Caenorhabditis elegans: one gene and its partner. The protein of the gene in region 1 purifies or fractionates together with the protein of each later gene. This does not show direct contact. Each region holds a gene or a part of one and is shown on either strand. Other genes may lie near its edges.

Region 1 (9,653 bases):
GTCTGCTTTGTGCCGACATCGGAATAATGTCTAATGTTTTGCTGCATCGGGTTCTAGTTTGAATGACCAGTCATGCATTTACGATTTCCAATATTTTCGTCTATATCATTGAGTCCAGCCACGCCTGAATATGAGGTAATCAGTTACAAGATGACTTCATTCTGTTGTGAACTTTTTTCGGGTCTATGTTTCAGCAAGTCTCTGAACACGCGCAATTTGACAATGTCATAGATTCTGCATTTTCGCTGTTATCTGAAAATGAAACGTCTACCTAACGTAGCATGGAATTTTTCAGACAGGTTTAGCCGCGAGGAATCAGATTTTTCAGCCAAACATACGGTACCCGATCTCAACACGACAAATTTCGATAATCGCAGAAGGCTATGATTTTTTCGTATATGATTCCTTTAATTTTTTATTGAATAAATTTATTTTTTATTGAACAAAAGCGACATCAATAGCAACGAGAGTTGGAAATCATTACAGTAGTCATTAAAGGCTCAATCTTTTTTTCAGAACAAAAAATTGTCCCATCGAGACCAGTTACCGTATTCATTGACGCGAAAAGTGCAAATTTCTGAATATTATAATACAATGTTAATAAAGTTCCAAGTATTTAGTAGCGTTTGGTCCCTCTCCAAAGTCTAAACCATATGAAAAAAATCATGAAATTGATGATATTTCATTTATGATCGGTGATCTATGGCTACGAAACCAATGATGTAAAAATCAACTTGTTTTCTAATTTCAAAATTTCCAGATGACCTTTGAAGGATAACCGTTTCGATGATGTAACTGTAAATTTCATCGACAACATCAAACAAATACGTCATCGGAATATGAAATAGTTAACGCTTCTCTCTTCCTGTCAAGACAACAGAGAACGTCACAAATATTTGATATCTTCACACACATTCCACACTTCCTTTTTTGACTGTCGCCCACGCCGGAACCCTGTGTCTTCTGCGCGGTGCAATTGATTAATTACCCTATTCGTCAAGGGGAATGGGCAAAGAGGAAGCGAGGCGAGATAGAGAATGACTGGGTTATCATAGAACGGTCAACGTGTTGATGGCGAGGCTGCTTAGATTCATGTGAACAAGTTAAGACGAAAAGATCAGGATTAAACGTTTACACAGATTCATGACGCAATTATTTGAATTGCATTTCAATTGATGCAACTAAAAAGAGAACAATAAATAATATAATGGTTTAAAGTTTGAAAAAATACAGTAAAACCCAATAAAATTAAAAAGACATTCAAGTTTCCATTGGTTCTGGCTCATCTGTTGGAGCTTGATCTTCGGCGGAAGCTGGTTCGGCGTCGGCAGCTGTTTCAGAACTGACAGCAGCAGCAGCGGAAGTAGATGGAACATCGTTGCTATCGTCGGAATTCACTTCTGGAAATAGAAATACATTGAGTTATTTTAAGATCCATATGAATTAGTACTAACCTGCACTAAGAACTGGCGGAGCTTCGGCGCTATCTTGAGTCTCATCATCTGGTTCTTGTTTTACACCTTCTTCCTCTTCTGCCTCTACTGGTTCATCCTCTTCCATCCTTTCTCCATTTTCAGACATGAATTTACTGTAAAGAGCTGCAAACTTTGGTTGAATGCCATCCATCTGCTGGCGAAGTATTGGAGTTACAAATGGTCCTGGTGGTGGAAGTACGCTACGGTTGGCTATCGCGTCCTCGTCTTTTGTGGTCAGTCGCGAAAGAATTCTGAAATATATATACATATATTGACTGAAGCTTTTACGAGTTAAAACTTACTGTCTCTCGGTCATGTTGAGACGTTCGGTGACAGTCGCTAACTGTGTAAAAGTAGATGGAAGTCTAGACACGTCGGCCTTCATATCGGAAAGTATTTCGTCGAGCTGAACCAATGTTTTGTGTAGAACGGCATTCGCATTACGATTTCCAGCAGAACTTTCTTTGGCGATATTAGCTTGAGATTCAGCAATATTCTCTAAATCCGCAAAACGTTGAGCCAATGGTCCAACATTATCCGGCTGCAAGTGACGATTGGCGTGTGCAGCGCGACGAAGTTGCTCCTCAATCACAAGGGACTGTTCAATAAGTTTGAAACGACGTTGCATAAACTTGGCTTTGATGTCAGATCCTGTTGCCTCAGCGCCAACTTCCTTGAATGGCTCATTGAGAACTGAGAATCTGGGATCATTGATGATGTCATTGAAATTAGCTTGGAAACGTCCATATCCGTGTACAACAACACCAGCTAAAAGCCAATAGTCGTGTCTGCGGTACCAGATTTCATATTCTTTTCCGTTTCTTGCAACTTTCTCTTCATTGGCCCACAAAGAGTGAAGTTCAGTGAATCCACCGTCACAAATGTTGAACTTGAATGATGGACGGGCTGCTCTTGGTTTCTCGGTTTCAATTGGTTCTTCTTTCGGTTCTTTGGCTTCATCTGTATCCATTGGTTCGTCAACAGGAGCGTTTTGTTCACTCTCAGCATCTGTAGCTGGCTCTGATGTAGCTCCGTTAACTGTTTCAGTAGCATCTTCCTTTTCCATTGGTTCTTCCTTCGGCTCTTCTTTTGGTTTCGGAGTACTTCTTGAAGATCCTTGTGCCGAACCATTGGCAGCTTTAGCGAGAACTTCGTCTTGTATTTCAGGCATAGACCATTGGCCATTATATTGCTCAAATTCTTGAACCTTCCGCCGAACTAAACTCAGCAATCCGATTCGGCCAAGAACATGCTGACGATTAAGACCTTCTCTTGGAACTCCATCATTAAAGGTATCATGACCATCAGCTCCAGGCTCACAGAGATGTCGCATGAACAGTGAAGCATAAGCTCGGAAGACTTTTTCCGATTTGTTTCTCAGATCTCGAACAAGCCATTGAGATTGATGAGAATCTTGTGGAGGCATTCCCCAGCGCATAACAGCCCCGTAGAACGCCTTGCGTTGACGTGGATTGAAACCAAGAATCTCAACTTGTCCATTGACTTTAGCCATGAGTGGAGGCATTTTTTCTTCATCACGACGCCGCTTTTTCTTCTCATCGTAATCATCTTCATCAGAGTTCAGGCCGTCGCCATTGTCCGAACCACGGTACGACTCGTTATCATCGTCATCATCTTGGGTTTGGTTCTGAAAAAAATCATTAAATGTTTAATCAGAAATTAATCAGAAAAACCCAATTAATCAGAAAAAAAACAAACCTGCTTGCTCCAATCAGTTCCCATATTCTCACTGGCATAGTTGATTTGTTTGCGAACACGTTTTCCCTTTCCAAGCTTTTGCAATTCGATTTCCCTGTCCTGTTCGTAGTGATGCTTGAGCAGCTTCTCCCAATAATCTGGATCTGGTTCTTTCTCATCTTCTTTAATCACTTCCGTTTCCTCTTCCTCCTCTTCTTCTTGTCCTTCAGTCTCTTTTGTCTGATAGCTGGCCACCTTGAACGAGCTTAGATATTCGTTTTGCCATTCAGCTTTTTCTTCGCCATCTTCTCCTGCTGGAGTCTCTTCTTTGTTACTGCGATCGAGAAGAGCATCTACAGCTGCATCATCCCAAACAATTTCTTGTGCGGCAGCACCTTTCTTCTCCGAGCCTTCGCCTTCGGCAGCATCAAGATCCTCACTGAATAACTCTTCGGTTCCCCATCGAAGCACATCGTCCAGCTCAGTCTTGCTCATTGTCTTTCCTTCTTTTCCTCCCAATCCTGCACGTACAACCAAGTGATTCAAAAGCATCTTCTTCTTGGCAACTGAAGTGATTTTTTCTTCGACAGATTTCTTTGTTACAAAACGATAAATCATAACTTTATGCTTCTGTCCGAGACGATGTGCACGAGAGAAAGCTTGAATATCATTGTGAGGATTCCAATCAGAATCATATATGATAACCGTATCAGCAGTTGCCAGATTGATACCAAGACCTCCAGCTCGAGTGGAGAGCAAGAAAATAAATTGTTGAGCTCCAGGAGCATTGTAACGATCGATAGCATCTTGTCTCATTTGTCCCATGATACTTCCATCTATTCTTTCATATCTGTATCCTTCATATTCACATAAATCTTCCATTATGTCCAGCATCCTTGTCATTTGTGAGAAGATAAGCACTCGGTGGCCACCATCCTTCAGCTTTCTCAACATTTTTTGAAGAAGAACAAACTTTCCGGAATTCTTGATGAGCGCCGTTCCTTCATACATTCCGTTTTTCTCTTTCGGAGCCTCCAACTCTGCCTTCACAAAAAGATATGGATGATTACAACATTTCTTCAATTCCATAAGGACGTTCATCAATGACATTTGAGTTCCTCCATTCTTCACATTCAATGCATCAAAATTGCGAGTCAGAATATTTTTATACCATTTTTTCTGCATAGCACTCAGTTCAACTCGAACAATTAATTCTGATTTCGATGGCATGCCAGTCAACACATCAGCTTTGAGACGGCGAAGCATGTGAGGTCCGAGCAAGTTATGAAGTTTTTCAATTTGATCCTCTTTGGAAATCTCATTGAATTCGGCAGTGAAAGCCTCGAGCTGACTGAAAAAATGCAATTAATAAAATAAAATACACAAAAATTCAGAAACTTACTTGAAACGTTCTTTGGACAAGAAATTGAGGAGATGGAAGAGCTCTTCTAAATTGTTTTGAAGTGGAGTTCCGGTGAGAAGTACGCGATAATGAATAGTATATTCATTGAGATTTTTGAAGAACAACGACTGATTATTCTTTAACCGATGAGCCTCATCAACAACAAGAGCTCCCCATTCAATGGAAGAAAGTATAGTTTTATCCATATTGATAGTCTCATAAGAAGTGAGCAACACGTGGAACTTCATATTCTCTGTCGTCTTCATTTTTGAAGCCTTCGGTCCGGATCGAACGGCACCTTCAACGAAAGAAAACTCATGTTCTCGGAGCACAACACGAGCATCTCTAAGACCAACATAAGTGACCACATAGAAATCAGGACACCATTGTTCAGCCTCACGCTCCCAATTGATAATAGTTGATAGAGGAGCGGCAATCAAAAATGGTCCTTTGCAATGGCCTTCCTTCATGAGACTGTATAAGAAAGTAAGCGATTGAACAGTCTTCCCAAGACCCATTTCATCAGCGAGAATCGCATCAGTTCCGTTGGACCAACAATGACGAAGCCAGTTAAGTCCTTCCAGTTGATATGGATGAAGTTTTCCTCCGGTTTCCGTAACGTAGTCGGGCTGAACTTCATATTTTTTACGGATGTCAATCTTCTCACGCTTCTTCTTTTTCTTTTCGTCTTCTTTTGGAGGAAGACCTTTAGCTTCGCGATGTTTAGCAATCATCTTCTGCACATTTTTAGGAATATCCTCATTTAATTTGCTCTCACGATGTTGCCAGTATTTAATGATTGCTTCTTCGTAATTGGCAATATTAGAATCATCTCGTTCCCAAGTGGCTTGATCATAGCTGAGCTCCTTCCACTTAACAAGGTAATCCTGCTGCGACTTTGCATATGATTGATGATTGATAATACGATGAATTTGCATCCATTCCGGTTTGATACCATACTGGTAGAACCGCTCGCGCAATTTATAAGGATCATTATCAGAATGATGACGAGACGTAACGGATTCTTCAAATTCTGGAGGAGCATCGGAATCATTTTTGCGCCAATATAGCAATATAAGCTGGAAAAATAAACATTAGTCAAATGGACTTCATCACTTAAAACTCACCATACGGAAATGAACTTCCAACAGCATTTCGGAGACCCAAGAACACTGCCAGTATGATAAATACTTCCATTTCACGAAGAATTCACGCTCACGTCTTGGTTCCATTTTCCGTGGTGGTTTGAGCATCGCATCGTCACTCGAAGCCTCTTTCCCAGCTTCGAGAGGTTCTGGATACGGGATTTCCTTCCATCTCCAGCAAAGGATTTTTTCGATTTTGTGTTCCGGCTTAACCGTCTCGCACCGTGGGCACGACCATGTTTCTTCTTTCGGAACTTCGGTAAGTGGAGGATCAATACAATATGCGTGGAATGAGCATACACAACTATCACAAAGCAGAAGATTCTCAGTTTCTTTGCAGATCTTGCAGAATTCATCGTTTTGCTTCGCCGGTTCTTCTTTAACTACTTCTGGGCCATGTTCGATACAATGAGCACAACTCCAATCACCCTCTGGTGGTTCTTCCATATTTTCATCAATACAGACTGTATGGTAAGCGCGGGGACAGGTGTCACAAAGAAGAAGTTCTCCATCTTGCTTGCACTCCTCACAGTAGTCATTATTTTCAGCTTCTTCGCCCTTTTCTAATTTTGCTTTTTTAGCGGCACGAGCAGCTTCCAATGCTCCTTTTTTCTTCTCTTCTCTTTCCGCTGCACGTTTGATACGAGCATCTTCCTTGTCTTTTACCAAATCGTCCTCCAGTTGTTCTTGTTGCTTAATAAATGCCTCAAACTCTTGATCACTATCAGGAGCATCGGAATCTCGACGCTTTCTCCTTGCAGAACGAGTCTTCGTTGGAGCTGATCGTGGAGGGATGACGGGTGTGGAAACTGCTGGAGTCTTTGAACCTCTAGCTTGTTTTTGAACAGGTTTTCCTTGGGCAGCCATGTGATCTTGATACTCTTTATATTTGACTTGGAACATCGGGTACATCTTGGATACGTTGGTTCCGGGGTTTGCCTCCAGTATTTGTGGCTTGATGATTGAGGAGAAAGTCTGTAAAAAAGATGTTTAATTGGAGGAAAACAGAAATCGAGATTTAAAAAATAAATTTTGAATAATCACCTTCAGATTAGAAATTCCTTGAAACTCCTCTTCATCATAATCAAATTCGACGTCTGTCAATCCGATAGCAGCACAAACTTCTTCACTTGTCGAATTATACGGATCAGGAATCTCAACCTTGCTAGCTGCGGCAGCACTCTTTTTGGATCCTTTTTTGCCTCCCTTTCCGCCTTTCTTTCTAGAAGAACGCTTTCGCTCAGATGGTCCAGCCTCATCGCCTTGCTCTTGTTCTTCCTCTTCTTCTGTTTCTTCAGTTGCGTCTTGAGTGACAGAACCCTCTTCCATTGATTCTTCCGCGTCCACTAAAGACGGATCTTCTTCAGTTGACATTGTTGAATTCTCAGGAGAAATACAATTTCTGAAAATTGATTAATATAAGTAAGACATAAATAATTGCAAGAAGGACATTATAAAGAGAACAAATTAGAAAGCTCGAATGCAAATCAGCAAAATTTGAAAGTGTGAAAAGTCTGCAAACACGGCGACGAAATAACACACAGAGTTGAGTGTAAATTTTGGGCTGATAGATTAAGCCTTAATTTTTTCTAAAAAACGTAGAAAATTTTGAAAATATTAAATTCCTAAAGTAGGAATTTAAATTTAAGCTCGTCAAGCTATTTTAAATTTTTTAAAATTTATTTTACAACCTACGTTTCAAGTTTTCTAAAATCTACCATCGAGAAAATGCAATTATTACAAGAAAAGTTAGAAAAAATAGCCGTATTCAAAAACATATTTCAAACAAATATTGATTCGAAACGGGACAATTTCATGTCCCCATATGTCCCATTTGACGAGACACTGCGGGGACATTGCAGAACGGGGACACAGCTCGTTGGGACGGTGGTCAGAGAAAGAGAGACGAGAGGAGAGTGATGGAAATTCGAATGACCCGTCTTCGCGCGTAAGAGTGACCAAATGCAGCGTCGTGTTTCCCGCAACGAAAATTATTAATACGTGGCATGTCCCTTTACTAATTTGAGTTGAGAATTATGTTGTTCACAGAAAATTAAAAACACGTTGGATTACGGATTAAAAAAAAAACTAGTAAATTAGATCTATTTCAGGATTCAAATCAGGTAAAAACTGTGAACCGTCCTGATAGAATTAAAATTTTGAATTAAAATTGGGAAAATTACGAGCAAATATTTATGACGATTTTAGAAATATACTTGTATACTTAGAAATATCAAATTGCGGAAATTGAGAGGAAACGCGAATCCAAAAAGCGAGCCAAAAAAAAATGAAAAAGAAAACATTTGAACAAAACGCATCTGCTGGCAATGGAGCGCACCTGCATAGCTCCCGAAAATAGGTTTCTTCTTCGGAACTTTACTAATTTTTAATTGAATCAGCATGTATATACAAATTCTTATACAAAGATATACAAATTCTTTTCAGAAACTAGGAAAACCTTAGAAAACAGGGAAAAAGCTAAAAAAAAAAGAACGGGACAGTAAACGTTAAGACGCACACACAACATTTTAAAATCAATGCACTTAGCGCGGCGAGACCCATTCGCATAAATGGACCTCCCTTGAAAGCGCAAAAGCGGAAAATGATTCAAATCGATGCACGGCAGTGAAGAAAAAGATCTAGAAGTTCAAAACACGTGTTTATGCGAGTTAAAAATAATTTAAAAGAAATAAAATGTTCATAATGTTTAAATCAAGGATAAACAAATTTACCTTGACCTTCTGAAAACGTGGCAATTTTAAATGATTGAATAACATTTAATATTTCGAATTAACAGTATAACGCTTTAGATTCGCCCTATTATAAGCTTCTAGAAATTATATCTTAACTTCTGAAAAAATTTCTCAAACTGCTAGATTTTCTACAAAATTGTAAAAGTGTAATTTGGAAAATAATGTTCGAAAACAGTGATATTACGGGAACACAGAATTTTGAGAATGCGTATTGCACAAGGCATTTGAAATAGAGCCCGTAAATCGCCATAAGAGCTACAGTAATCAGTTAAAGTGTTACTGTAGTTTTCGCTATGAGATACTTTCAAATATGTTGTGAAATACGCATTCTCAGAATTTTGTGTTGACATAATAGAGTACTCAAATGTCCAAACTTTAAAATGATATATCTGTCAACTTACCACAAATTTGGTAATTTGGCTTTTACAGAAATCGACTAATTCTGAATATTTTAAAGCAAGATCCCCAAGTTCCCAAAAACAAATTGTACAAAGGAAATATAACCAACATCATTTTCAGGCATGTGTCATCGTTTTTTACTCAAAGTTGTCAAATTTTAATGTATCTCCAACCCAAAAATGTCCAGTCAATAAGTAAACATAAACTTTTGATTCAGTTATTTTTTTTCAAAAGTTCAACTGCCGGAAACCAGATAATCCGAGATGCTGGGATTCACGTGAACCTCTCCACCCTTTGTCTCATGGAATTATGGAAGATAACAAAACAACAAAACCATAACATATTACAGTACCCCTCATTTTTCGGTTTCTTTTTTTTTTGTTCTAATGTCTCCGTGATAAGCGTTTCAACGACACCCCCCTGATTTCATATCAGATTATCAGAGAAAGGCGCGTTTTTGTTTTGATATTGAATAAGAGAGCAGTTTCATGGAGTTTGGTTTAAACGAAAAATTACAAATTACGTGAATTTTCAAATGAGAAGTCAATGAGCGGTCAGAGAAGTGTTGAATGTCCTTTTGAGATAGATTGTGTGGCATTTTTTTTTTGAAAATTACTATTTAATATGCTTTTGATCTTGCAAAATTTGATTTCTCGAACGTAAGGAAATCTTCCAATCTTGCCAAAAATGTTAATAATCTAAACCGCATTATACTATAAACGTTAAATCAAATATATGGTAGAATAATAGTTTGGCTACCAGTTTGTAGGTTTAATGGCTA
Region 2 (7,782 bases), on another chromosome or scaffold:
CGATTCAAAGTTTTCGGGCAAAATTCTCCATTTGGATTCACCTCGCAATCGTGATGAATTTTCCACGCGATGAACTTGTCCAGGTACACATTTCTATAATTGGAATTTTTCTATAATATTTGGAACATTTTTATCTCTGACAACCCGGATGCAATGGGGCCTGCCTACAATCGACGCCTTTTCTCTGTCTTCCCTGGATTTTGGATCTCGCTGCAAACTTTCTCGCAGCTTTCGGAATGCCAAGCTTCACGCAAATCTCGTACGTTGGATCGATCTGGCAAAATGTTTTGAGTTTCTCAGGAATTACGGCCGGTGGTTCGATTAAGCTTCTGCTACTGGAATTTTTGTCATTTTCAGATTTTCCTGCAGAAAAAAATCCAACTTACGTTTCCGAAGCCTCCAGCAGCATGGGAAATAAGAAAAATAAGAAGAAAATCACCATCTTTAAGGAAGAAGTGAAAAAATTGTGCTGTGTCGGGCGATTTTATAGGAGGAATTTTGATTCGATTATATTTATGGTTTTCAGAAATTTGAAGGAAGGAAAATGTATTCAGAAACATGAGATTCTAGGGAAATAACAGTTAAACAAGTAGATCTTGAGATTTGAAAGTGATATCAACGGGAAAAATTTAAGAAAAAAAGTCAAGAAAAAAGATTATTCAGAAGTCATTGGTTTGGAGAGTTTCTGGCTTTTGGGCCTGCTGGGCTTCTCGGATCTCTCCTTGGTTTGGACCATCCTGGAAAAAGTTTATTCAAAAAGTCAAGTTGAAAGTCTACACAAAACTGGTTCTCGAAGCGACCGAAAATTTGCAGCTACCGTAACCAACCACAATTTTCTACGGCTTATCATGATTTTTTTGATCCAAAAAAATCTTTGTGTTATAAATTTTTAAAAATTGAGTGGAAAAAACTAGAGGGTACGGTAGCTGCAGTCGTCTCGAGACCCGAAAAGCTTTTTGCAAAATCTACCTGAACGCTATCTGATGTTCTCCAGAATAACTGTAGTCAAATGTGAGCTCTTCACTAATCTCAAGCCGTCTCTTCGCATAGAACCCAATTCGGTGCTCTCCGGCGACAACCATCGTTCTCGCGTAGCACGTCGGATTCTTGCTGTCATGATTGGCAAATCGTGCCAAGTTTCCAATTTTGTACGAATCGATCGCACCCCCGGTTTCAATGTCTGCAAAAATATTTTTTTTTGTTCCGAAAAATTGAATTTTCAAAAAAAAAGAAAACTTTTGATGGTTTTTTTTTTCGATATTTTGTTAATTTTTTGAAATAATTTTTTCTTATTTATTTGATTTTCAAAAAATCGAAATGTTGTCTCTAAAAACCCAAAAAAAATTTAAATTTAAAACATTTTTCTGCGACACCGTGATCTAAAAAAAGTACATACTAAAAATGTAGCTGCACTGATATCGATCATATATCGCACCGCGTCGTTCGGCTTCATCATCGGAAATTCGTTCACCAGTGTATTCCGTAATGAACTCGTCTTTTTCGGCGGGTTCCAACAAGAAAAGTCCATTGCCTGCTATTTTCGATGGCCCGCAATACGTTCGTTTTTGGATCATTCTAGTCATTCCAAAATTGCGGCATTTTATTATGTTCGAGTCGATGGCGTCGCATCTGAATTTGTTTTTAAATTGAGAATTTTCAGGTACAAAATTCGATTTTTCTGTGCTATTTTGATTTTATATACCTTTTTTTAAATTTGGGATTTTGATTGAAGATTTTTAATGGACATTTGGTCCTTCTTTTTCGAGAAATTTTCAGTTCGATCAATTTTTTTTGGAAAGTTTAATTTTTTCCTTTCTTAAAATTTCCATTTCTGGAAGTTCTGAAAAATTAAAGCTTACTAAAAAAACTTTTCAAAAAATTCCTGTGCACTCACTTGCACATATTACACGTCATCGGATTACATTCCCAATTGGCTCGATAGCACTGGCAAGCCTTCGTGTAGCACTGACCGGCGGCGCAATTGCATCCCGGGAATCGCTGAGAACAGTTTATATCGCATTTGCACATGTACGAGCACACTCCGTTTTCACGACATGCACAATTTTCGGCTGTCGCGTTGCATGGGCCTGAAATGTTTAAAAATTAATTTTCAATTAATGGGGTTATTAATGCGATGTAGTAAAATGTGCAAAAATGTGTTTTCATTCATTTGTGTCCAATAAATACATGTGTGTCCAATAAATACAAAAAAATATTCGTTTTCTGCATTTTTCGACATCGGTCGACAGCCCACTTCACATGCTGAAGGCGAGAGACGCAGAGAGATATGCACCCGCGGGTTTTCTCTGCGTGTCTCGCCTTCAGCATGAGAAGTGGGATGTCGCCCAATGTCGAAAAATGCAGGAAATGCCGAAAAATGTCGAAAAATGCAAAAAATTAATGCTACATTGTTCGATGCACATGGGTAGGTGAAAAATGTATAAAAACAAATTATTGCATTTTTCTACATTTCACGAATAACCCCATAATTGTTTTCCATTCCTCACCCGCATGTCGACACGCTGTGATTGGCGTCACCGCGGTCATGCGAACTTTCTCGCTATTTCGCTGAGAATCACGCATATCATCTTCTCGAATCAATTTTTCCGCATCCAGACCATCTCTCAATGCTTGAATACGCAGACTGTCGTGACGCAGCTTACGCTTCGCCTTCTCCTGACTCAACTGATTACGACGGAAGTTGTTGACTCGATCCTTGATACTTCTGAAACAATTCAATTTTTTATATAAAAAATCGCGTCAACTGACAATCTATTCGACGGTTGTCCCATTTTAAGTCGTCGGGCGCTCACATTTTCTGCCATCGACATCATTAGATGATATGCGTCACGACATGAACGAATTTTGCTTTCCTCGTCGTCTTCGTCGACATATTTTTTGACAAACTCGCAGAATGGCTGAGAATGGATTTTTTGCATTTTAAGCTATAAAGCTCGATTTTGCACCCTTTTTTCCTATTTTTCGCTATTTTTTGTTTAAAATAGTTTGATTTACATAATATACAAACTCTTAAACGCAAAATGAAAAACAAAATAACGAAAAAGGTGCAAAATCAAGCTTTATAGCTTTAAAAAAAAGAGAAAACTTGCGAGAAATTAATTTCACTGGAAATATAATTTTTCAATAAAAATGTTTCGGAGGGATCATCTCAGACCTCCAACTATCGCATGACACTATTTTTATTCCGAATTCAGGAATAGTTTTTGAACTCTTCCCTTGTTAGAAAAATTATTGAAAATTTAAAATTACAGTACTCTTCAAAGACGCACGCCTTTTCGCATTTAACAAAAATTTGTCGCGTCGAGGCCAGGTTTTGGCGCAAAAATCGCGTACTCTTACAATATATGTATTGAACACGTAAATGTTCACAATGAGCGCTCCATCTTCAATCGGCATCTTTGCAATTCTTGATTTCATGAAATAAATCTTCACTTCTTTCTGCAGAATTTCTTCAGAATCCGGCACAAGAACTTCTGAAACTTCTTTCATCGTCACCGATTTCCAGCAATTTCCAGAACACATCTTTCCATCATTTTCCGGGTTATTTGGCAGCGGAAGCATCGCATTATAGAATTCACCATTCGGAAACTCGATTGGAATTTCGGCTTTGAATCCGTGAATCGCACATGTATATGCGAGGCACGCGTAACACGTCGGATTTCGAAGATTTTGAGCACCTTCAGCGATTTTTGTCTTCTTCCATGGTTCGAGGCTCGACGGATCGAATCCTTTTTCAGCAAAGTTCTCGCACAAAACGGGAAAAGCCGACGAAAATTCTCTCTGTGAACTTTTGTTTGGCCATAGACGGTAGAGGGTGTAGTAGAATACGTCTGGGCTGCCTTGGTAGTCTTTGAGCGCAGCACGGCATAGTTTGTAGAGTATCCAATCATTGACATAGGACCAGTTGTCTGAAAAATTTAACATCAATTCGCTTAAAAAATACCTGGAGCTAAGGATTTGCAAGATTGTCCCGAGGTTTGATGCATGTCGATTTATGAAACATTTAGAACTACACGTGGACAAGTGGGAACTTGTTTTTCGCATTTTTCACTTTCAAGGCTATTTTTTAAAACTAATTTTGTGTTTGACATTCAAAATGACATTAATTGAAATAAAATTTCAAAAAAATTTTACGGCGATTTCTCACTGAAAAGTGAGAAATTAGGCAATTTGAATGTAAAATGTAAAAATAAATAGAAATAATGGTACCTTCGTCCCGCCTGTTTTTTTTTCGATTTTTGGGGGTTTCTCAGAGAAAATGGAAAAAATCCGGTATTTTGCAATTTCTCACCCGAAAATCCATGAATTCCATCTGGGAACATATCAATCAAATGCTCATAGATATTCCCATCGTCAATACCATCGCCAAAATACGGCATATGCGTGAGCCGCAGCTGATCCGGAGTCGCCACACTTTGCTCGATTGGAACCCAGTATATCATTGGCGGGGAAATGTCGCCAACCTCGATACGTGAACACGGAGCACGAAACTTCTTCATCAAATCTCCTTCCTCCGTTCGATCCGGTTTGATCCATGTAACTGTGGAATCGGAGACTTTGTAGTCGTTTTCTTCGTATTTTTCACAGTTTTTGAATGAAAATTTTGCGATAGTTCTGCCCTCTCCTAAATTTTCTTGCAGCCTTCTGCGATATTCATTAACACTGCTGCTCGCATCCTTCAACCAATCTTTGATGTCTGTGTCCAGCTCGTCTTTTACTCGAATGTCATAGTCATCTTTGATAGCATTGAAGTGGCCTTTAAGCATACGTTTACATTCTTCAATTCCTTGTTCGCACACGGTCTCCTTGATTTTTTCAGATGAAAAAATTGGCTGAATTTTCACAAAGCGAGGCAAATTTTTCGATTTCTTCGATTTTCCCATAGAAGTTTCGCACTTTTTCCCGCGCTTCTTTGTTTTTCCTGAGGGAGTTGATGTGCTGGGCTCTGAGTTGCTCATTCTGAAAGAATATTGCGTTTTAAAAAGGGAGAAAATTGTATTAAGACGAAAAAGACGAGAGAATAAATCGAAAACAAACAATTTTTAATTTTTAAAAACATTGCAAGTGTTGCGTGCAATCGCGCCCTATTGATAATGTGAAGTTGGCGCGAAGGTTTGGAATTTGAATCTGACAAGGAAAACCAAATGCTTTTTGCAAAATATGTTACCCAGGCGCGAAGTTCTGCCATTTTTATGCTAAAAATACGGTGCCAGGTCTCAACACAGCAATTTTTTGTTAAATGCGAAAATATATGCACCCTTTAAAAAAGTACATAAAAGTCAAATTTTCGTGGCCGCGGAGTTTTCATCGAATTTTTTCCGATCGCAATATATTAAAAAGCTTATATTAAATATAGAAAAAAAATCAATAAATTTTCGAAAAAAGGATTTAGGAAAACCTACTTATAAAAAAATCGATGAAAATTCCTGAGAGTTTGCAATTATGTCTTTAAAGGCACACACCTTTTTGCATTTAACCAAAATTGGTTTTGGTGAGACCGGGTACCGTAATATTTGCAAAATTTTGCATACTAACTATTACTAGTAAGGCTGAATAATTCCAAGAACAATTTTATTTGAACTTTGGAAAAATTACAAAAAAAATTTTTAAGAAAATTAAATCTATTATTGACGCGGTTCCATGCTCCGAATCTTCACCAGTAGCTCATTGATCTCTTCAGTTCGATATGGAAGATTCAGTAGAGTATTCTCCACCGCAAACTCGACAAATCGCTCCCGTGAAATATTGCAATTCAGTAGCAACTCAACGGCTCCGTGAACCTGAAAAATATTATTTTGAAAATAGAGAAAAACATCAGAGGTAAACTCACAAATCCATCGTCTTGCTTCAAGAATCCCATCATCAAAGACATGAGCACTGGCCATGCTTCTTCTCCTTCTTCCATTCCGTTCACAGCTTTTTTCACCTCCCGGAAAGCTTCAATATGCTGGGAATTCAATGTGGACTCCTCAATTAGCTCGATCTCATCAAATAGTTGTGAAGCAGCTGAGATCTTACGAGGAAGAGCTCGGATCAGTGATTGGATCTCGTATTTTCTGTAAAGTGCCAGTGGAAACCGGTGCTCTTGGTGGTGGATTATGGCTCTTGTGATCTGAAATATCATATTATAATTTAAATTGTAAAAATTAATCTATAACTCACCACTCGTCGATTCCCAGTCTTAATTGATTGCACCAGGTGCACCATGAGAACTTCCCAAAGGGCCCACTCATAATTCTCCATCATTTTGTAGTGCCCTTCCTCTTGATCACCATGCAAGTGGAGATTATCGAGAAGTTTTGGGAGCAGCTCTGTCTGATCGAAATTATCCATTTCGAGATTTGGGATCTAAAATGGAAAATTAATAGTTACCCTAAACTTTTCTTTGAAAAAAAACATGCATCTTGATCCAGCAACGACTCGTCTGACAGCTCCCGTCGCAATTGTTCAATTTTTCGCACCAACTCGTCTGCTTCAACAAATCTGTACTGGAACTGAGCAGCAGTCTCGTGCACTCTATAGTACTCGAAATCCGCAAGTGATAGCTCCAATGCACCGAGAAGTTTGAAGGCACATTTTACCTGAAAACCATAATTGTTTTTGAATTCCCGCTGAAATTAGTGACCATTTAACTTACAAGAGCCAAATCATCGAAACACATCATATCAGTGAGAAGCTTCAAAACATGGTCCGGGACAAATGTTCCACCAAAATCGTACAATGTTCCGTATGTGAAATACTTTACAATTTTGGCCTTTTCCCTTTGCATGCTTGCGTTCCTCCATTTTCTGATCCTTCTGGCAAAGTCGGTGGCCGGCGCTAAGTTCGGGACAAATTGATCGATCAGACATGCGATGTTGCACTTGTCCAGGATTTCGACGGTAAAGGGGACTTCCGGCAACGTTTTCAAGACTTCTTGGATCTGAAATTTCATATTTGGATTTTGAGTATATGTAGTAGTTAGCAGGGCTGTGCGGCTGTCGGCTTCAGCCGATAACCCAATTTTTCTACAAGCCGCACAGCCCCGGAAGGTAGGGCTAAAGAAAATCAACGGGAATTTAAGCATTACGATTCAAAATAAAAGCTATTTACTTACCGATTCTTCGTGTCCGCTCTTGATGACACGTGCGAAAAGCTCGATCTCGATCTCAGTTCGGTTCATTTTTGATCTGGAGAATTGATCTGGAATTTGAACAAAATGTATAAGTTATACTATAAGATTTTAGAAAAATAACTTTAATAAAACAGAAAAAGAGGTCACCAAACACCATAAAAAAATATTAAAGACTGACCTGGTCTTCTTCATTGTTTGTCTCCTCGGACGCTGCAACATTGCAGCGTTTGTCCAGGGAAGGAGGTCAATGTAGCATTGCAGCACGTCGGCAGAGTGCTGTAATTACACTTTCGGGAGCACTGTGGCGATGCGCATGACAGCTCGTATTTATTGATTCTATTGACGTAATGAGGTATGGGGAATGAGCATTAGTTCATGACAAAAATGTTCAGACGTTCAATCATAATCCCACTTCAAAATGCTGGAAAAAAGCACATTTTTTGTTATAAATATTGATTCCTTCATGCCTGCCTGTTGGCATGTTTAAAATGGCTGTGCGGAACTTGTTTCGGTAACCTAATCTATGTATGTACTCAGACTATTTTATCAATTAGGAGCCTAGGCAGTTAGGGTATATGGTATATGGTATATGGTATATGGTATATGGCAAAGAGTAAATGGCATAATTTAATAATTAATACATCTTT

Evidence for each region.
Region 2: the proteins of let-418 (region 1) and mes-2 purify together in Caenorhabditis elegans (affinity purification with western blotting, with the first as the bait; one study listed by BioGRID). This does not show direct contact.

The regions. Positions count from the first base shown.
Region 1 is NC_003283.11:5,824,302-5,833,954, reverse strand, and holds let-418 (Protein let-418), read right to left. Parts: upstream 7,123-9,653; 5' UTR 7,095-7,122; coding exon 6,765-7,094; intron 6,696-6,764; coding exon 5,703-6,695; intron 5,655-5,702; coding exon 4,576-5,654; intron 4,525-4,575; coding exon 3,195-4,524; intron 3,124-3,194; coding exon 1,778-3,123; intron 1,727-1,777; coding exon 1,455-1,726; intron 1,401-1,454; coding exon 1,261-1,400; 3' UTR 1,124-1,260; downstream 1-1,123. Other genes in the region: srh-76 (Serpentine Receptor, class H), read right to left, coding at 1-19. UniProt on the Caenorhabditis elegans protein: Part of a NuRD (Nucleosome Remodeling and Deacetylase) complex which is implicated in the synMuv B pathway that negatively regulates specification of vulval cell fate.
Region 2 is NC_003280.10:14,381,173-14,388,954, reverse strand, and holds mes-2 (Histone-lysine N-methyltransferase mes-2), read right to left. Parts: upstream 4,983-7,782; 5' UTR 4,980-4,982; coding exon 4,313-4,979; intron 3,930-4,312; coding exon 3,361-3,929; intron 2,919-3,360; coding exon 2,770-2,918; intron 2,726-2,769; coding exon 2,508-2,725; intron 2,088-2,507; coding exon 1,895-2,087; intron 1,630-1,894; coding exon 1,397-1,629; intron 1,181-1,396; coding exon 970-1,180; intron 738-969; coding exon 656-737; 3' UTR 501-655; downstream 1-500. Other genes in the region: F26H11.8 (uncharacterized protein), read right to left, coding at 131-335, 387-442; sdz-26 (SKN-1 Dependent Zygotic transcript), read right to left, coding at 5,646-5,801, 5,852-6,133, 6,184-6,369, 6,423-6,602, 6,659-6,943, 7,118-7,183. UniProt on the Caenorhabditis elegans protein: Polycomb group (PcG) protein. Catalytic subunit of a the mes-2/mes-3/mes-6 complex, which methylates 'Lys-27' of histone H3, leading to transcriptional repression of the affected target genes.